2 linked regions of the Xenopus tropicalis genome follow. Each later gene encodes a partner of the first gene's protein in a complex. Links are inferred from orthologs where the notes say so. Each region holds a gene or a part of one and is shown in the gene's direction. Other genes may lie near its edges.

Region 1 (8,785 bases):
ATTTAAATTGTACTCTGTCAGATAATTGGGCTGCCCCCAGCCCAGTGTGACCTATGGATCTAAACCTAAACAATGAGGGTATAGGGGTATAAGAGCCCACAATTGCTTTTGTTGGGGGTTCTTATTTTACTAACTCAATTGTATAATTGAAATTTGTCAGTATCAGTATTATAGGATGTGTCATAATTAGTCTTACTGAAGATATAAACTTTTCCCACGTCAGGTTGTAGCCTGACTTATTCGTGACTTATGGTAGATATATCAATAAGGAAAGTCTCCGACATGAATCACAGGCACCAGAGAAAACCTGTGGAAAAAGGCTCTGCAAGGGCCACATGGCTAGATCACCCCTCTTTTTATTTACCACTTGGGTGGCCAATTGGCCAAAGATTTGTTCATTTGGTGACCCACCAAACAAGAGTATTGAGTGTATATTGCCTGTTGTAGCTGGTTTTCATTATTAATACAAGCAATACTGAAACAGGAAAAACAAGAGATGAAACAATTGTCCATGTAATCTTTAACATGTGTTCAGTTCCCAGATGCTCCTGAAAGAAGACTTGTGCATCGCACATGGCAAGGTATGGATCAAGTGATACAAACAGGCGTTTGGTTTTTAATAGTTATTGAATGTATTTTGGTGATGCTTGCAGGGGCAAACGGCCATTGCATTATTACATATCTGTATGGGAATGGATGCCCCAAATCAGGATGCAGGATTTGGATTCAGCCAAATTCTAGGTGTTCAGCTGTTCCGAAACACTTAGAGAAAGTCACAATTAATGCACTGTTGTTATTTTTCTTAAATACGCATAGGCAAATTAGATGGATTTGGTTTGGTATTCAGCTGATTCTTGTTTGGAGAATGCGGTATTTGTCGAAATCCAGAAATTGTGGATTTGGTACAGTCCTAATCTTAATCAGGGTTGGACTGGGCAGCCGGGACACCGGGAAAAAACCACTGACGCATTTCACTTAGGCATGCTCAGGGGAGGACGTTAGGGGCCCCTGCGGCGGGGGGGGGGGGGGGGTTAGGGTGCGTGGCAGGAGATGTGGCCAGCGGGGGCCCTGCACTCACCAGTTTCCATAGAAACTCTGCTCTAGCTGTACATTCTGCTGGAGAAACACGCAGAATTGTTTTTTAAGTTCTGCCTGTGTAAGCCTGCATTTTTGATTTTATGAACTTTGCAGCACACATGCTGTTTACAGATATAAATGTCACTGATGATTTGCCAGAGGGAAAATTGCAGCTGGGTGAAAGCTGCTATTTGTTTTAGGAAAATTGATGGTGCTGGCAAACAGAGGGATATATGTAATACAAATGATGCGGTGTGGGTGGGGGAGTTGTGTCCAACTTATATACATGGTAGGAAAATGTAGGGTTTACATGTAAGGTAAAATTTATAAAGGGCATTATATACTGATATGTATATGCCAATTTAGTTTAATTTTTTGAAAGGTGACCTAGTGGACTATAAATGAGCTATTGGTTATACTTTAATATTAAATGTATAGTTCCCCTTTGACTTATTTTTGTTCTTTCCCCTCTCTAGCTAGCATGGGTTCTGTACTGTGATCTCATATGTCTCGATTACGATGGAAACCTTCTTGATACTTGCATGTGTGCTTTGGTTGCTGCTTTACAGAATGGTAAGTCATTGTTCAGTGAAACAGTCTTTGAGGGTACAGGGTAAGAATGAAGTGCTGTACAGCTGTTGCAAGTCCTGTTGCCACTAAACCTCAGTGGGAATCACTTGTTTATTATTATGTCTGAGATTCATGTTAATACCAAATATACCCCCAGAGCAGACTGGCTCAGTTTGACGTTTTTGCATTGCTTATGCAATCCATTCCATTATCTAGGTCTGGCTGTCCAAAACCTCCCTATTGAACTTTTCCAGTTAGCGGTTGTTGCAAATTATAAGGTTTGTCTGTCATATAACCTGGTGCTACAGGGCTGATTATTAAATTATAAGGAAGTTACATGTTCAGTGTATCAGCAGAAAAAAAAATGGCATTTTATGAGACACAGATCTTCCCTGCTAAAGGGCTGGGGTTGCCTTGGGCTGGTACAAACCCCCAAACATAATGTACAACATTTTTACCCTACTTCTATGTTAAGCTTTAGTTTACCTTTAAAGTAGAACTAAACCATAAAAATGAATATAGCTAGAAATGCCAAATTATATGTATTGAACTTATTGCACCAGCCTAAAGGTTCAGCATCTCTATAATGATCCCTTTAAAGTTATGCACAGAAGCTCCTACATCTTTGATTTTGTTAGAAGTGTCAGTGACACTGCACATGCTCAGTGTGCTCTGAGCAGCTAAATTATCAAGCAGAAAATGAGGTTTGTCTGTAATATAAGCTGATGGTAATTGCACTAGTTTCTGAGATGACATACTAATAATTTTTATTGTATACTAATCAGTCTTATATTGTTATACTTATATTCAGCAGTGGCCCCCCTTCTCAAAAGAAAAAAAATGTGGGGGGGCGGGGGCCCGGCATGCTCTTGTGGTCCTGCATAAATATTTAAATGAGTGGCTGGGGGTGGGATCTCTAGGCTACAGACAAAGCAAACCCTGTGGTCATGTCCCCCTTGAGGTCTGCTTCCTTTATAGTTCAGCCGCAGTTTATATTCTATATATACAGTATAGTGTGAGTGGGTCCCTAAGCTCAGGTAAGTGACAGCAGCACAGAGCATGTGCTGGGAATCAGCAGAAAAGAAGATGGGGGCTACTGGGGGCACAGATCTTCCCTGCTAAAGGGCTGTGGCTGTCTTTGGCTCATACAAAATATAATATACAATGTTTCTCCCTTCCTCCTTTAGATAAAAGTTAGTTCTCCTTTAATGTGGTGAACTGTGTATTTACTACAAGCTACATATGTTGTGGTGCTAAATATTGCACATTAATGTAAGGGCACATCCTAAAGTGAAATCAAAAGTGTCCTTTCCTAGACCAGGCCATTCTGGTGGGAGTGGATAGGGAAAAAAACATGAGGCAAAATGATCAAACAGCGAAGCTTGAACTCGCCACAGTCTGTAGCATCACAGAGTGGAATTCCACCACTATCGATTTATGTCTCTGGGATGTCTCAAGCTCTAGCTGTTCAGGATCCCATTCTTTATAATGCAATCTGCAGCTCCCAAGGTGTCACTGCACTATAATCCCAAGCAACCCATGACAGCTTTTGGCCTACTGGTGGATGCTAAAAGTGGTTGTTGGAGCCCATGCCAATATAATGTGTATTTTGCCTTATGATACTCTCCCACTGCTGCAGTCAATACAAATATTTACAGCAAAACGAGGGTTTCTCTTCTTATGCACTGCTTGCAACTGCCACCCTGCAGGTCCCTGTGTGGAGCCTCTGCTTGGGCCTCATTTAAGGCACCCTACCTAGGAACAAACATGTTCTGTTGGTAGAATATACATTCCAGCAGTTGTGCAACGAAGGCCCACAATTGGAGCTGCCTGTCCCTTCTGGGCCCCATGGAATGTTATTAAGCACTATACACAGAAGATGGTCTGTAGAAAGCTTTCCATTTATTCTGGAGGATAAAACAGTTTGTCCTTAGTCAGCAGTTATTTTATTATTTGCCTGTTTATAGGCATTATGAAATATTTATGGACATTTCAGTAGGATTTGCGGTTGATGAACTCACGTTGCTCTTGAATGTCACAAAATTGACTATTATTAGTATCTAATGGTGCCTGTGCCAATGTTATTGGTTTCCCTCTGCAGTAAGATTGCCATCTGTTAAAATAAACGAGGAGACTGGTTTAGCAGAAGTCAATTTGAAAACAAAACATGCTCTGAAAATCCTGAAACACCCCGTTGCAACATCATTTGCAGTATTTGATGAGTAAGTATTTGAAGTCCTTTGCTAAAGCTAGTGAGGCTTGGGGCTATAGGGCAGTGATGTTCTGAGTAAGTGATGAGACCCTCTACCGTTTTTTTATATGAGTTTTCACTGGAGACACCAGCTCAGAAGCTTGTGAGAGGATTGGGGGTGGGCACTGGGGAAGTTGAAGCCTGGTCAGCCATTGGCGCCAGAAAGCCTGGGGGAGAAAGTCAAGCAGCCTGACATGGGGGCCACCAACCCTGCCTGTTATCATGAGTGACAGGGCGTGCAGAGCAGTATTGGGGCACAGGTTGGATAAATGGGTTTTAACTGTGGTGACCACAGATTGCCTTGTGTTTGATGTCAACAGGTCAATAAAGGTCTGTTTTTTTTTTTTTGTTTAAGCTCTGTATACAGTTATATGTTTTTGTCCATACAGACAAGATAGGCATACGTGAACACTACATTCACTTTAACGTAATAACAATAACACTTCAATGGGACCTTCACTTCTGGGAACATCATTAAAGGTGCAAGTCCCTTCAGCTTCAGAGCTGATTACGGACAGGCCTTGTGATAAGCAGAATCACTAGTGTATTAGTATTCTCATGGGGATCTCTACTTTAAAATAGTTCTATAAAATATAATAATGGCTCCCTATACAGTATGCTGGTCCCATCTTGTGACCGATTAATCACAGAGGTAGGTGTCGGAGGCTGAGGGTTTGATCTTGTGTGAGGAATGCTTACTCTCCATCACCAAACCTATTGCACTGTCCCAGATTACGCATATAAGTGTGTTATTTTCTTTCCTAGCACATTCCTTCTGGTGGATCCCACAGGGGAAGAGGAGGGCTTGGCCAGCGGACTACTCACTGTTGTGACTGATGAAGATGAAAGGTTATGTGCCACTCGAAAACCAGGTACATCTACAGGCGATGAAGAACAATGGCTGCTTTGCTTTATAACCAGCTGATGCCACTGGGACAGTTCTCTCCCAACCATATGTAAAACAGGACATACATTGTAAACCCTGTATGAACTTAGAGAGATGCTTGTTAATAAGAGCGAATGTGTTTGTTTGTTTGTTTTGTTTTTGTTACTACACCCATGGTTTGTTGGGCAAGTCATATTTTTCCTGATGCCTTGGAGTACAGCAAGAAAAAAAAAATCTTGAGGGATAGGTAGATAATTAAACCTTTAACCTTTCCTCTGTAAGTGTAGCTTGCCACAGATGCAACCTAAATGAAGAGTGTTCACCCAGCTTGGCCTTCAGGCAATATCTGAATTAATCCTATGCAATTTATAAAAGGGCAGTACAGCTCATTTTCCAGCATCAGCGCAATGTTAGTGCTAAATATACTTTTTACCTGTTGTTTCAATTAAGAAATATCTATGTTATTATTTATGCTCTAAACAGAACAAAATCTGAACCTGAAAGTCACATTCTCCTTCCTGGTTTTGTACAAACAGTCAAAACAAATCATTAGTCTATTGAGAAGCCTCTGTATAATGAGATACTCCTATTTAAAAGCCAATCTAGTCTGCAGCTTAGGAGAAAGAAGGCTTTTTAAAACTACCTTTTCAGAACCAGGAAGTAATTGTGACTTTTTTTACTTTTAGTCTTTGTCCTGTTTAGTGCAAGAAATAAAAACAATTCCAATGTAAATATAAGACTAATTTCCCCACACTTTTAGAACTAAGATTATCGGATGTGCAACAAGGCTCCTTGTGTGTTCTGTGGTTTCACTGTAACCAAAAATAAAGTCCTGGAATCATTGTGGCTTGCCCCACTGAAATATTCTGCAGTGCAGTGAATAGGAAGGTCAGTGGTTAGGCCATAAGCCAGCAATTCTCCCTTGGTAAAGCTTCTTGATCAGGCTGCTCACTAGGTGCCGGGGTGTTTTGTTAAGGGGCACAAATTTGAGGGATGAACTGTGTGTCCCAAAAATTGATTTAGTAACATTTTTTTTTTATTAACCATTTTCTATTGCAGATGAAAGTTGACTGTAATTAGGGGGGGTAATCGTGGCCCACCTTAAACATTGGAACCCATATCCTGACCTATAGATTACATTTCTATGTGCTTCAGCTTTGTTTCTTACCTTTTGAGTGAAAACAGACATTTAAGAAATACCATTTTTTTGTTTGTGTATCTCTTGGGGAAGAGTGATGCATTCTTGTTAAAAAAAGGGGGAATTTTCATGTTAATCTGTAATATATTAACTTTTTTTTTTTTACGCAAAGGTGGGAGTGCCCTTGCAGCAGAGAAGCTCCAGGAGTGCATCAGTCGAGCCATCACGAGACACAAAGAGGTGACGAACCTTCTGCAAGAGGCGCTGGCCAGTGTCAAGTCAGAATAAGTAGGCATATTCATTTTAAAAATGACCATGTAAAAAGTTGTATTTGTTACAGTGATTGCACACCTTTTGTACTAAATAAACATTACCATGGCTACATTTACTCGCTACAGTTCTGTCTCTATGGGTGCAGCGTCTCAGTCTCCTCCTCACATGGATGCAAGTTAAAAATCTTTCCCCCCCCCCCCACCAGGTTTGTGAAGGCCCCCAGACCACTAATAATGTATGTCCATTTTAATGCACATATAAGTCAGACATCTCTTCACAAAGCTCGTTTGCAAGTATTCGTGTAAGAATAATTTAAAACAGTTTTAAAAAAATAGTAATTGGAAGGCAATAGTCGGTTAATAATTCTGCTCAAAGGTGTGATATGGAGTTCAAGGCTCAGGGTTTTGCGTCAAATCCGGCACTGCCCCTCCTTTTACTTCTTGATTGGCTGTCGGAATGAGGCAGGGGCGGGAACTGGGCTGCTTGTGCTGCTGTTGCCATAGCCATTTGATGATGCAAGAATTGCAACTGTCAATGCAAGGTGGAGACAAAGGGTTAAAGCCATTTCAACATATGTTAAAGCTGTACACCGTGCTAGGGTTTTACTGCTCACCTTACTGAGAGTGAGGCTCGTAGCTCAAGCAGGTTTGCATGGAATTTAGGCAGTACACCAATGCAGGAAGGGGGACCAAGAATTGATTGGGCAATCATGCAGCACCAGAATCCCCAAAGCACCTCAACTGCTAACTTCCACTCTCAGGGAAAAGCAAGGCTCTTACAGCTTCATTGTCCCCCAAAACTGGGGGGGGGAAGGATCTTGGAAGGTATTATTCTACAATGGTTCTAAAAGTTGCCATATTCCCAGACCTGGACAAAGATGTGGCTGAACTATATTATATACAAATATACACACAGTGGTTTTTTTTAAAGTTTGTGAACCCTTTCAAATTTTCTATATTTTTATATGAATGTGACCTAAAACATCTAATTTTCAAACAAGCCCTAAAAGTAAACAAATGAAACTAAAATTATTATATTTGGTCATATATTGAAAAAAAAAAAATTCTGCAGTCAATGGGATGACAATCAGGTGTGAGTGAGAGACCCTGTTTTATTTAAAGAAAGCGGATCCAGCAAAGCAAATCACACATACAACACATTTGTGGATGTGCATCATGGCTCAAACAAAGAAGGTGTCTGAGGACCTTAGAAAGAGAGTTGTTGATGCCCATAAAGCTGGAAAAGGTTACAAGACTATCTAAACCGTTTGGACTTCGACAATCAGCAGTCAAAGAAACTGTGTTCAAATGGAAGAAATTCTAGTGTGTTGTTACCCTACCAAGCAGTGGATGACTATCAAAGACTCCAACAGCAAGGCATCTAATAGAGGTTACAAAGGAACCCAGGGTAACTTCTAAGCAACTGAAGGCCAGTCTTACAATGGCGAATGTTGATGTTCATGAGTCCACCAGCTGGAGAACACAGAACAGCAATGGTGTATATGGCAGCGTAGCAAGGAGAAAGCCACTGCTCTCCCCACAAAATATTACTGACTGTCTAGTTTGCTAAAGATCAAGTGGACAAACCAGAAGGATTCTGGAAGAATGTTTTGTGGACAAAGGAAGCCAAAATAGAAGTTTTTTGATTAAATGAGGAGCAAAATATATAAGAATGCTTAATACAAAAATACAAAATATAAGAAACTTATCCCATCTGCGAAACGTGGTGGGAGAGTTTTGGTTTGGCCCTGTCTTGCTGCCTCTGAGCCTGGACAGCTTGCCATTATGGATGGTACAATGAATTCTTAACTATATGAGAGAATACTAAAGGAAAATGTCAATACATCTGTCCGTGAAGAGACAGTGAATCATGCAGCAAGGCAATGACCCTAAACACACAAGTTGTTCTACCAAACAATAGTTAAAGAGGAATAAAGTGAATGTTCTAGAATGGCCAAGTGCTGACCATAATCCAATTGAAATGTTGTGGAAAGACCTAAAGTGAGCAGTTCATGTAAGGAAACACACCAACATCCAAGAGCTGAAACTGTTCATAGAGGAATGGACTCAAATTCCTCCAAGTCAAAGTGCAGGATTGATCAACAGTTACCACAAACATTTAGGTGCAGTTGTTGCTGAACACAGGGGTCACACCAAATACAGAGAGAACGATCCACTTACCTTTGCAACACACAGATTTGTTATGGGATCATTTTTTCAATAAATACACAACCAAATATAATACATTTTGTTTCATTTGTTTAACTAGGATTTCTTCATCTACTTTCAATATCAGATGATGTTTTAGGTCACATTCATATAAAAATATAGAAAATTTGAAAGGGTTCACAAACTTTCAAACACCACTGTATGTATTATTTTTGCATAATATATATATAGTGCCAACACGGACTATCCTTGCTCCAGCCCATATGCACTAACTATAAAGAAAAATCTTGTAACACTTAAACATGTGCAGCTTTTGGGCTCTATGAAATCCTGAACCATGCATTGTGATTTGCTGAAGTATAAAAAAATGTGCGTGGCATAAAACAAACCTTCTTGGATTAGTAAAGTATTCCCGTGTAGAT
Region 2 (9,298 bases), on another chromosome or scaffold:
TCAAATTCCAGTGGGTGTAATATTAACTGAGAGATTACTATTAACTCAGATCACTGGTTTGAGGATCAAGCGTACGCCCTATGAACCAATGTATTTGGGTCCAAAATATTGTCCGTTCTGGCTAATGTGCAAACTGTTTGTTGTAATTTGTCCATAAAATGAAACTGTTATAATGAGATTAATCTGCTGAAATCAATGGTTGCTGACCACATTTAGGTTGCTCCTAGTATGGTAAATACTATATAGTAAATATATGTATGTATATAAAATAAATATATATATATATATATATATATATATATATAATATATATATATATATATATATATAAATTATGCTATACTAGTAAATGCAACTCATCAGAGAGCACTGGTCCTTTCTGTGTCCCACCCCTACTGGCCTTTCTAGATGGCATCAGTGGTCTCTGCCCATTCAGTGCTACCATGTTTACTGTAGCTGTGTTTTCCTGATAGAGGTACCTTTTTCAGGATCATTACAATAAAGGAGTGATGTGCAATGAAACATTGTGTTGTTGTGGTTTATTTTTTATAACAGTAGTTGAGTCTATGAAGTAACCAACTGCTATAATATAGGTAAATATATATCTAATATTGGCTAATAGAGTTCATAGGATCTGCTCAGTACAAACAGTGTTTATTACTGCTCACACTGCTGTGCCTCTTTCTTTTAACTGGTATGTGGGCAAAACAATGGCCCTTAAGCTATGCCTCTGTAGCAGCCAGAAGGACCTGTACTGTACATAAATCTCATAATGCACTACATTAGTTAGCTCTTATGCCATCCAAATATTTCACATAGAATGTCAGTTTGGCGTGGTGGCCAGCGATGCCTTCTTCCCCATGGATGGACTATTCTGTTCTTTAAGGAGGTATTGCAGAGAAGGTAGGTGGGCACTGCCAAAAATACATTAAAGCTGATCCCAGCTGCAGAGAACAGAACCTTGGGCCTGGCACAGATGCTTGTGGGGAATGTGATCGGAGTTGTCCTAGGCAAAGTCGAGCCATATTTTCAATTTGAGATTTTCAAATTCTTTTTTTTTTTTTGTAATTGCACAAATTCTAGAGATTGAAGTTTTTTCATTTCCTTATTAATAAATAAGCATACATTAAAAATGTTAGTTTATTTGAATTAGAAAAACAATTTTGAATTCTCAAACTGATAAATAAGCCTATTAGTGTGAGCTCTTGCATTCATGTGAAGCTCAAATAAGCTCATTTCTATCACAGTCTGGAAGGCACTGACACATAATGAATCATCTGTATACAGTTGTATTACCATTCCGTCCTAGGCCCTGAACTTCTCATTTATTTATTCATGGGAGAGACACTGATGGAAGGAAATGTCAACAATATGTAAAGAAATCAGTTAATTCTAGGTATAGTGAAACATCTTGAATCACTGGATGTGTAATCTTCAGGACAAGGCTTTACATTTTCTTGTCATGCTTTTGGCACTAATAATGCTCACATAATACAACTGGGAATACTGCAGGTACCCCAGCATATGTGCTGTTGTTTCACCCTATGTGATATTTAGTAGCATTAATCTACTCTACTTTTTAAAAACAGCCAAGCTGAAAGTATTGAAATTATCCTCAAATAAAGCCAGCACCTATCCTAAAATGGGAAAGCGATCTTAACACAACGTTTACAACAGCCCATTGGCTTCAAGTGGCTAACGCAGCTTACAAATATTTCAAATTTACTAACCACATAGAGAACCAAAGAAAAATTCTATTCAGAGGGTACAAAACACCCTCAATCAGATATATCCAAACACCTCGTCCACCTGCTGGAGGTGCAACAAAACAACAGGAACACTAATCCACATGTGGTGGGAATGCCCAGCACTTGCCCCCTTCTGTGCAGATGTCTCACTACTATTGTATGAAACAACAAATATACTAATCCCACTAACTGCCTCACTAGCACTACTTAACCATCGACTACAAAATATACCTCCAAACCTAAGGAAACTTACCTACCCCATTATCATTTTGGCCAGGCTATTAATACCACGACAATGGAAAACCATACCAACTAAGGAAAAACTGATCAACCTCACAGACTCTAACCTTACGTACGAAAAACACGCAACAGAGAAATACTTTCCCACCAAGCATGGAAAACCAAATTTCTCAAAAACTAACAGCAGCCACATAAAGCTAGAAAATGCACCCGGCAGTCAACCAACAAACACCTAACTCCACCACCACAGGATAACGTCAGGAAAAGATTCACCCAGGTTTAGTAGCGAATGATCTTGGACTATATACCCCCACTCCACCATGATCTCTCCGATACTTACCTCTCTCCTGTCTCTTATTGTCTCCCTTTCTTTCCTTTTCCTCTTTTTTGTATGAAAATCTCAAGTTGAAAAAAAAATCCTCAAATAACACTCGGGAGAGTTTCTGTTGTAACAATAGATGCCGAAGCATATACAGCATACAAATAAAATAGGGCAGGCGTGTTTTGTAGCTAAAAATAAAAAAATAGGTTCTTGTCAAAAACAGACCTCATTTCCTAACACTGCCGAAGCCAAAAAAGGTGACTTCTTCAACCTCTAGGTGCAAACTATGGTAATTCTTGCACAATTTGCACTTGTGACATTCTGGAAAGGAAGTAAAGGTATGTGTGTGTGCTATAGTTTTTGTTCATAAAATACATTAAATGAACAGTGCAAAGGAGAGTGTAAAGTACAGGGGCTTCCTTGCACCTCTATGGCTTACTCACAATAATAAAGGCCAATACCGTGCCTGCCCTTCCTGCTGGAGACTGCCACTGTTTATTAAACAATAGTATCCTTATACCCTTTTCTGTCAAGCATTTTCCTTAGTTCCAGAAGAGTTGGTATATGTTAATAAACTTTTTTAATTCTTAGCAAAAAGTTGATCCAGGGATTGTTGGAGTAATTACTTCACTCCCTTTAAGGCTTATGGGAGATGCCTTCTGATATCTGTATTGCTCCAGATTAACTAGATATTAGTGGTGTTTCTCTTAGAGAAAACGTTGAACTTGAAGGGTGTGTCCTTTTTCAACCACATCTACTATGTAAAGGTCTCAATTACAATTTCTAGGCACTAACAAAAGATGCTGTTAAATGCTATATGCAATGTGTACTTGTGCCTGCCTATGCCCATGCTGTATGCTTATTTTCCAGTGGCACCTGCTTTAGTGCATAAGGGGCAGTACAGCACTGTATCTGCGCTGGCCACACAGTAACTGCACAACCCCCTTGCCACTAGTTTATTAGACCCTATGAATGGTACACAATTAAAAAGCATTTTACTGTATGCCCAGGTGACAACTGTGTTGGAAACTAGTGAATTGTGTCAATTTTAAATAAGTATATTAGGGCTAGGAATTATTCATCTTGGCAGTGTTGTTAGTTACTGGCCTAGTTACTGACAGAAGATAAAAGTTCAATTATAAAGCAAGGTGTATATACACACATGTATATATATATATATATCTCAAATATTCAAATATTTTCTTCTTACAGTAGGTGTACGAGGCAAGAGCTTATTGCTGTCTGTGTGCCTCCTGTCCCTGAGAATAATTACACCATTTTGTAAGTTCTGATTATCCCCTATAGGTTACGAGGTCAAAAAGGGAGAAACGTACATCCCAAGAATAGCGTCTTATTCCGTAACCCCCTCGTCCGGTATTCTTTCTGCGTTATTAAGGAAAATATATATACCTATCGATTTTCGATGGAAGCACCACTGTACAGAAGCCTCACGCTGAGAGAGCCTGCCTCGCTATGGTTTCCATGCAACGTCATAGTGAAGAGAACGTTTTCTAATAACTATTACAGTCACAGGAAAAGCAGTGTAAATGACATTCTGTTGCTATAGGAACACATATCTGGCCAGGTTGTGATATGTAAAACCATATTTTTTTAGAAATGAAAATCGATTTCTAGAACACAGACTAATACTAACATAACACTGTTTTTTTAAGATAAAGTAAAGGCTGCCAGAACTCCAGCCTCAAATTGTACAATTGCTACGTGGTACGTCATCACGCTGCGACGGCTGAAGAGCCAATGGCAGGATATGTTACGTCACTAACCGGGATGTACCCAATCGGAGCCTTCATTGCCCAGTATTGGTTATCACGTGTTTATCATGGCTCCTGTAAGGTGCTGTGTGCCGGGTGAGTGAAGCAGGGCACAGTGTTTAGTTAGTGTCGGTGCCTGGTAAGGAAGGACTGGGTTGGGTAGGAGTGCTGTGGGTTAGTGACTGAGATGTAATAACAGTAGGGATGCCGTAAAAAGAAATTGTGGAAACATTTCTCCTGCTCGTGTTGTAGTAAATGTATGTATATCTTTATTTATAAAGCGCTACTTATGTACGCAGCGCTGTACAGTAGAATAGATTAATACAAACAGGGGGTTAATAAGATAATAGATGAATACAAAGTATAACAATAAATACAAATAAATACAAGATACAGTTACAGTTGCAATAAGTTAAGAGTCAAAGACACAAGAGGATGGAGGTCCCTGCCCCGTAGAGCTTACAATCTATATATATATATAATTTCAGCTCTCCTGTCAGGCTTCATTCTGGGAATTCTGAGTTCAAGTTCTAATCTCTGAAGTAATATATTATTTTTACTTTTAAAAGTTGGTTGTTTTTTATATACCCTGTGCAGAGTTGTATTATTGTGTTATCTTTCTTTTAACCTCTGCAGGTGAAAGGCTGTGCAGCACTGAAGACTGTGCCCCTGGATATGGAACTTTCTGCAGACATGGCTATATTTTTGCCTCCCTGGCAGGTTACATAGTGAAGAAAACTGACAATGGCTTGGTAAGTAGTTTTCTGTAGTAGGTTGTTATTATACATAGCTGAGATACGATACACGAGTGGTAACATTTATGTTTTCGGGAGGATTTTAGGGCAGTCATTTGTTTCCCAACTATACAAAGCAGTCACTGGGAGTTTGCAGCCAGCTCAGTCTTACATTGTTGAATATGTGCCAGCAGGCAGTTGGGTCTTGCCACCTAGACAATACTATTGATCCCACCCATACATGCAGCCCTGAAGTAATGTTGAAGCTCATCTTTAAACTATTTCTGAAAGTACAATAATTTGCTGCTCCTGTGCAGACTGTCCCCAGTATAATATAGTTTTTATTTAAAATTTTTATTTCCTTACCTGCACTTTTTTGGTTTCTAGATGCCAGTTATTTCTGTGGTAAGAGAGACTGATTCACATCTTCTGCCAGATGTTGGCTCTGTTGTCACTTGTAAGGTAAGAATGTATTTTGCACACCAAAGTAGAATTCTGTAGTGGTGTTGTGTTATAACAGGTGGTAAAATGTATCTTTTTTTTTTTTTTTTGGGGGGGGGGGGGGGGGGGCTGGGTTTAGGGCAGTCATTTGTTTCTCAGCTATACAAAGCAGTTAGTAGGAGTAGAAGCCAACATTGATCCCACCCATGTATATAGTTTTTATGATCAGGCAAAAATCCTCTTTTTGGTGACCTTTCAGCATAAAAGCTGGCTTAGGTACAAGAGGACTGGTAAGGAGCTGTGTAAAGGGCTCAATGACATTAACATGTCCCAGCCAAATGATGGGTTATTGTGAGATACGAGGTACTTACAAGCTTAAAAGGAGCACTTTGGAAGGAGATGATAATGATTGTGGGAAAACTAAGAGAGTGCCATCTGTACATCAGCTTTTATAGATTGTAATATTCACTTTAAATGAACCAATACTTTGAGGCAATCTGTAACTGGTATTTATTTTTTTAAGCTCCACTATGTTTTATAACACAGTATTTGTCAATTTGAAATGTGAACTTTTTTTCATTTACTTTTTAATTTTTCATTCTTATAATAAACTTCATTTATTATTATGGAGTTTCTAATTTAGTCTTTATTTCCATTCATAATTAGGTAACAAGCATTAACTCCAGGTTTGCAAAGGTCCAAATTATGTATATTGGTTCAACTCCACTGAGTAACACATTTCGAGGCACAATCAGGTAAAGGATTTACTCTGAGGCTAGACCCTTCTTATTTAAAGTAAACCTTCTGCAGTATAGAGGGAGCCCATGTACTGGCATTTCTGGGTGTTGAAGATGTGTTCTGACATTTGCTCAAAAAAAATCGCATAACCCCTTTTGCAATTTAATTTTTATGCCATAAAGCAAGATTGGGCTTGTGTATTGCAGAAGATTAGTAAAAGTCACGAGAACCAGGAGATGGATTCCTTTATACATGCAGCTGAAAATGCGGGCTGGGGATTTGAGGACACTGACCCCAGCAGCAAAACAAAATATTTACTGCAGGGCTTGACAGTTATGGATAGTGGTTATATTTCTTTTCAGGGCCCGCTGTTCTTCATCTTTCATGTAAAGATTGCGCATTGGTTTTTAGGATAATTAACCCCTGGCAGTGAGAATTTAAATTCCAACCCTCAGAGCAGCAGAACAAAAAATTTAAGAATAAATTAAAAATCCAAAAAAAGCTATTGAATCTGTTTGCCTGTGTATGAATTGCTTAAAAGTACATTTTAAGGTGTTACACAGTGTTTTTAGAAATTATATGATTAAGAGCCAGAGCTGGGCATCTAACATTATTGCCTTATGTATAAATAGTTGCTTTTTGGCTTCTAGGAAAGAAGACATTCGTGCTACAGAAAAAGACAAGGTAACTGGACCCGCTTGTTTGTTTTTGTGAGTAAAAAAAAAAAATGTTAGGCACCCTCTCCGAGATTGTAATCACTTACTGCATACCCCAGATTGTGCTCCTGTTAGCAAAAAACTACACTGGCCCAGAGAACAGTTTGCTGGTTCTTCCTTCTTCACGGTGGATATGCATGCACAGCAGTGTGAAAAATGCCAGCTTTTCCTCTCTACTGCGCACGCCCCAACTTGGGGCCACTGAAGAATGAAGATGATTGGGATGCGGTGCTCTCACAGAAAGTACCCCAGACTGATCACTGGGGGTGCCTAAATATTAAGCACCCCTCTTTCCTTCTCCCTTAATCCCAAATGCTCTTATTCCAAATAGGTGTAATATTTCAGCGATTTAAAGAAAATATCACAAATCAAAGGTGCATGGCCTTCTATATTTTTAATATATTCTGTCTTTAAAGGTTGAAGTCTATAAAAGCTTCCGTCCAGGAGATATCGTAATGGCCAAAGTGGTATCCTTTTAGCTGTTCAAATCAATTAAACATATATTGCCTGTAATTAGTATTTACCAGGTATTCACATATTATCTTCTTCGCAAACATAATAAATATACTATTTGATTTATTCTTAACTTTTACATCTGTTCATGCCATTATTATCATTATGATTTGTCTTTTGAAATTCTGCTGCACTATATTCCCAAAACTACCCAAACACCTGCCTCTCTTCAAAAAAAATCACTAGTTTCGAGAACATTATTGGTGGGATTTGCTTCCATTGAGCCACAAGAGCATTAGCAAGGTTGGGCACTGATGTTGGGGATTGGATCTGGCTTGCAGTCCAGTTTGTCCCACAGTTGTTCTGTCTGGTTGAGGTCAGGACTCGGTGCAGCCCATTCAAGTTCTTCCTCTCCTATCTCGGCAAACCCATTCTGCAGGGACCTAACTTTGTGCATAGGGCTGTTATTGTTCCATAATCCCACCCAACAATGTTCCAGCTTCTATTGAAAAGCCTTTCAGAAAGAGTAGCCGAGTTATAGCAGGTGCCCGGATACTTTTGGCCATATAGTGTATATTGTTCAGAGGTGTAGTTTACCAATTGGTGTTGCCTGCAGTATATTTTGAGTATTGAATTGATTTCTTTTTTTAAAAAAGTTTTATCTCCTGATCTTTTGCATAAGATATCTTTGGGTGACATCCAGTCTAATTATCTATTAAGCACAGCAGAGAATGAGCTGGGTGTTGTAGTTGCTCATAGTGAAGCAGGTAAGTATGTTGTGTTGATGTTGTTGATGATCACTGAAAGGGTGACCATCAGTTTCCTCTTACTGTGCCCTTCAGCACTTTCTTTTTTTGGGCCTTGAATGGCAGTATGTTCCAGGGATCTCCAAACTTTGGCACACTCTCACTATATCTGTTCCTCCATAATGACTACTCAGATGTGTGTGGATATGTTATGAACACACTATTTGCATACTAATCAGCATCTGCTTGTTTTTGTCCCAGGAGCTACTATGGTGCCAATCAGCTGGTGTGAGATGCAGTGTCCAAAGACGCACATTAAAGAACAGAGGAAAGTTGCACGGGTGCAGCCAGAGTTTCTGCAGACATAGAGAACAACATGTGGCACAGGCATTTAAGCTCCTTGTAGTTGTATCTAACCACTCGGTAGCCAGGCAGTTCTGAATTATCTTAATTTGTATTATGGCAAACAATGATTTTATATTTGTTTGTGCTTGCAACCTTGAGTGCCTTGTTGCCTCCATAATTTTGGTGGTTAAAATTAAGACAAGCCAACAAAAATGTAACTCGGTTCCCTTCATTTAGGCTAATGCCTCTCCACTGACAATAAAGTAAATCGCCGATGGAAAGGCATACATGTAGCTTCAGTTTTCTGAAGTCATTGCTACTGTCATTTTACGGAGATTAGTTGCCTGCGGTAGTTGATATTTAACTGTGGGCGACTAATCCCCTCATGGGCATCAGTCTTTTTAACAGTATTTCTTTGCTCCAAAAGTTTAATTGATCAGATATGTGTTTTTTTTTCTCTTAAAATAGTTTTATTTGTATTTTGTACATTTTCCTCTATGAGAATAAAATGTATTTTTTTTGTCATTTATTCACAGAACCACTATTTTGGTCAGTGAGATTGTAACGGTATATCTTGTGAAGCTCTTGTAGTAAGAGTAAAAGAGACAGAATGCATGTGAACAATGTATTAGGGAATGTATTTTGCTGGCTCCAAAAATACCAGGGATCCCCACACTTTTTTTTTTCACTTATGAGCCGCATTCAGATGCCCAGCTTCCCAGAGTTGTGGCAAGACTCCTCCAGTTCTAGGTTTGGACAGAGGATAAACAGGATGCCTGAGTTTGTGCAGTTGCAAGAAGTAACGATTAGAGTTTCGCCAAAAATCTCTCTTGTACGTTTGCCAACACTCCCTGGTCAGTTTCCTTGTCAGACTAGATTGTAATGCTGCAGTACATCTTAGACTTACTTTCCAAAGGGACAGCAGTGCATGTGCTGCAAGGAGAAGAAGGTGAAGGGTTTTTCTTTTTCTAATAAGAAAGTTATTGGGCGAGATGAGACCTATATTAGACCTTGCAGCTGTACATACAAAGCTTCAAAACAGA

What was found.
Region 2: exosc8 (region 1) and exosc1 share a complex: the UniProt entries of both Homo sapiens proteins name them as parts of the RNA exosome core complex. The link is inferred for Xenopus tropicalis from reciprocal best matches to the Homo sapiens genes EXOSC8 and EXOSC1.

The regions. Positions count from the first base shown.
Region 1 is NC_030678.2:151,672,922-151,681,706, reverse strand, and holds the end of exosc8 (exosome complex component RRP43), read left to right. Parts: intron 1-535; coding exon 536-581; intron 582-1,553; coding exon 1,554-1,650; intron 1,651-3,748; coding exon 3,749-3,869; intron 3,870-4,663; coding exon 4,664-4,770; intron 4,771-6,094; coding exon 6,095-6,210; 3' UTR 6,211-6,306; downstream 6,307-8,785. Other genes in the region: supt20h (transcription factor SPT20 homolog), read right to left, coding at 6,592-6,723. UniProt on the Homo sapiens protein: Non-catalytic component of the RNA exosome complex which has 3'->5' exoribonuclease activity and participates in a multitude of cellular RNA processing and degradation events.
Region 2 is NC_030683.2:32,982,404-32,991,701, forward strand, and holds exosc1 (exosome complex component CSL4), read left to right. Parts: upstream 1-4,133; 5' UTR 4,134-4,150; coding exon 4,151-4,178; intron 4,179-4,718; coding exon 4,719-4,834; intron 4,835-5,203; coding exon 5,204-5,278; intron 5,279-5,923; coding exon 5,924-6,012; intron 6,013-6,645; coding exon 6,646-6,679; intron 6,680-7,127; coding exon 7,128-7,178; intron 7,179-7,846; coding exon 7,847-7,931; intron 7,932-8,171; coding exon 8,172-8,278; coding exon of another isoform or gene 8,279-8,351; 3' UTR 8,352-8,780; downstream 8,781-9,298. UniProt on the Homo sapiens protein: Non-catalytic component of the RNA exosome complex which has 3'->5' exoribonuclease activity and participates in a multitude of cellular RNA processing and degradation events.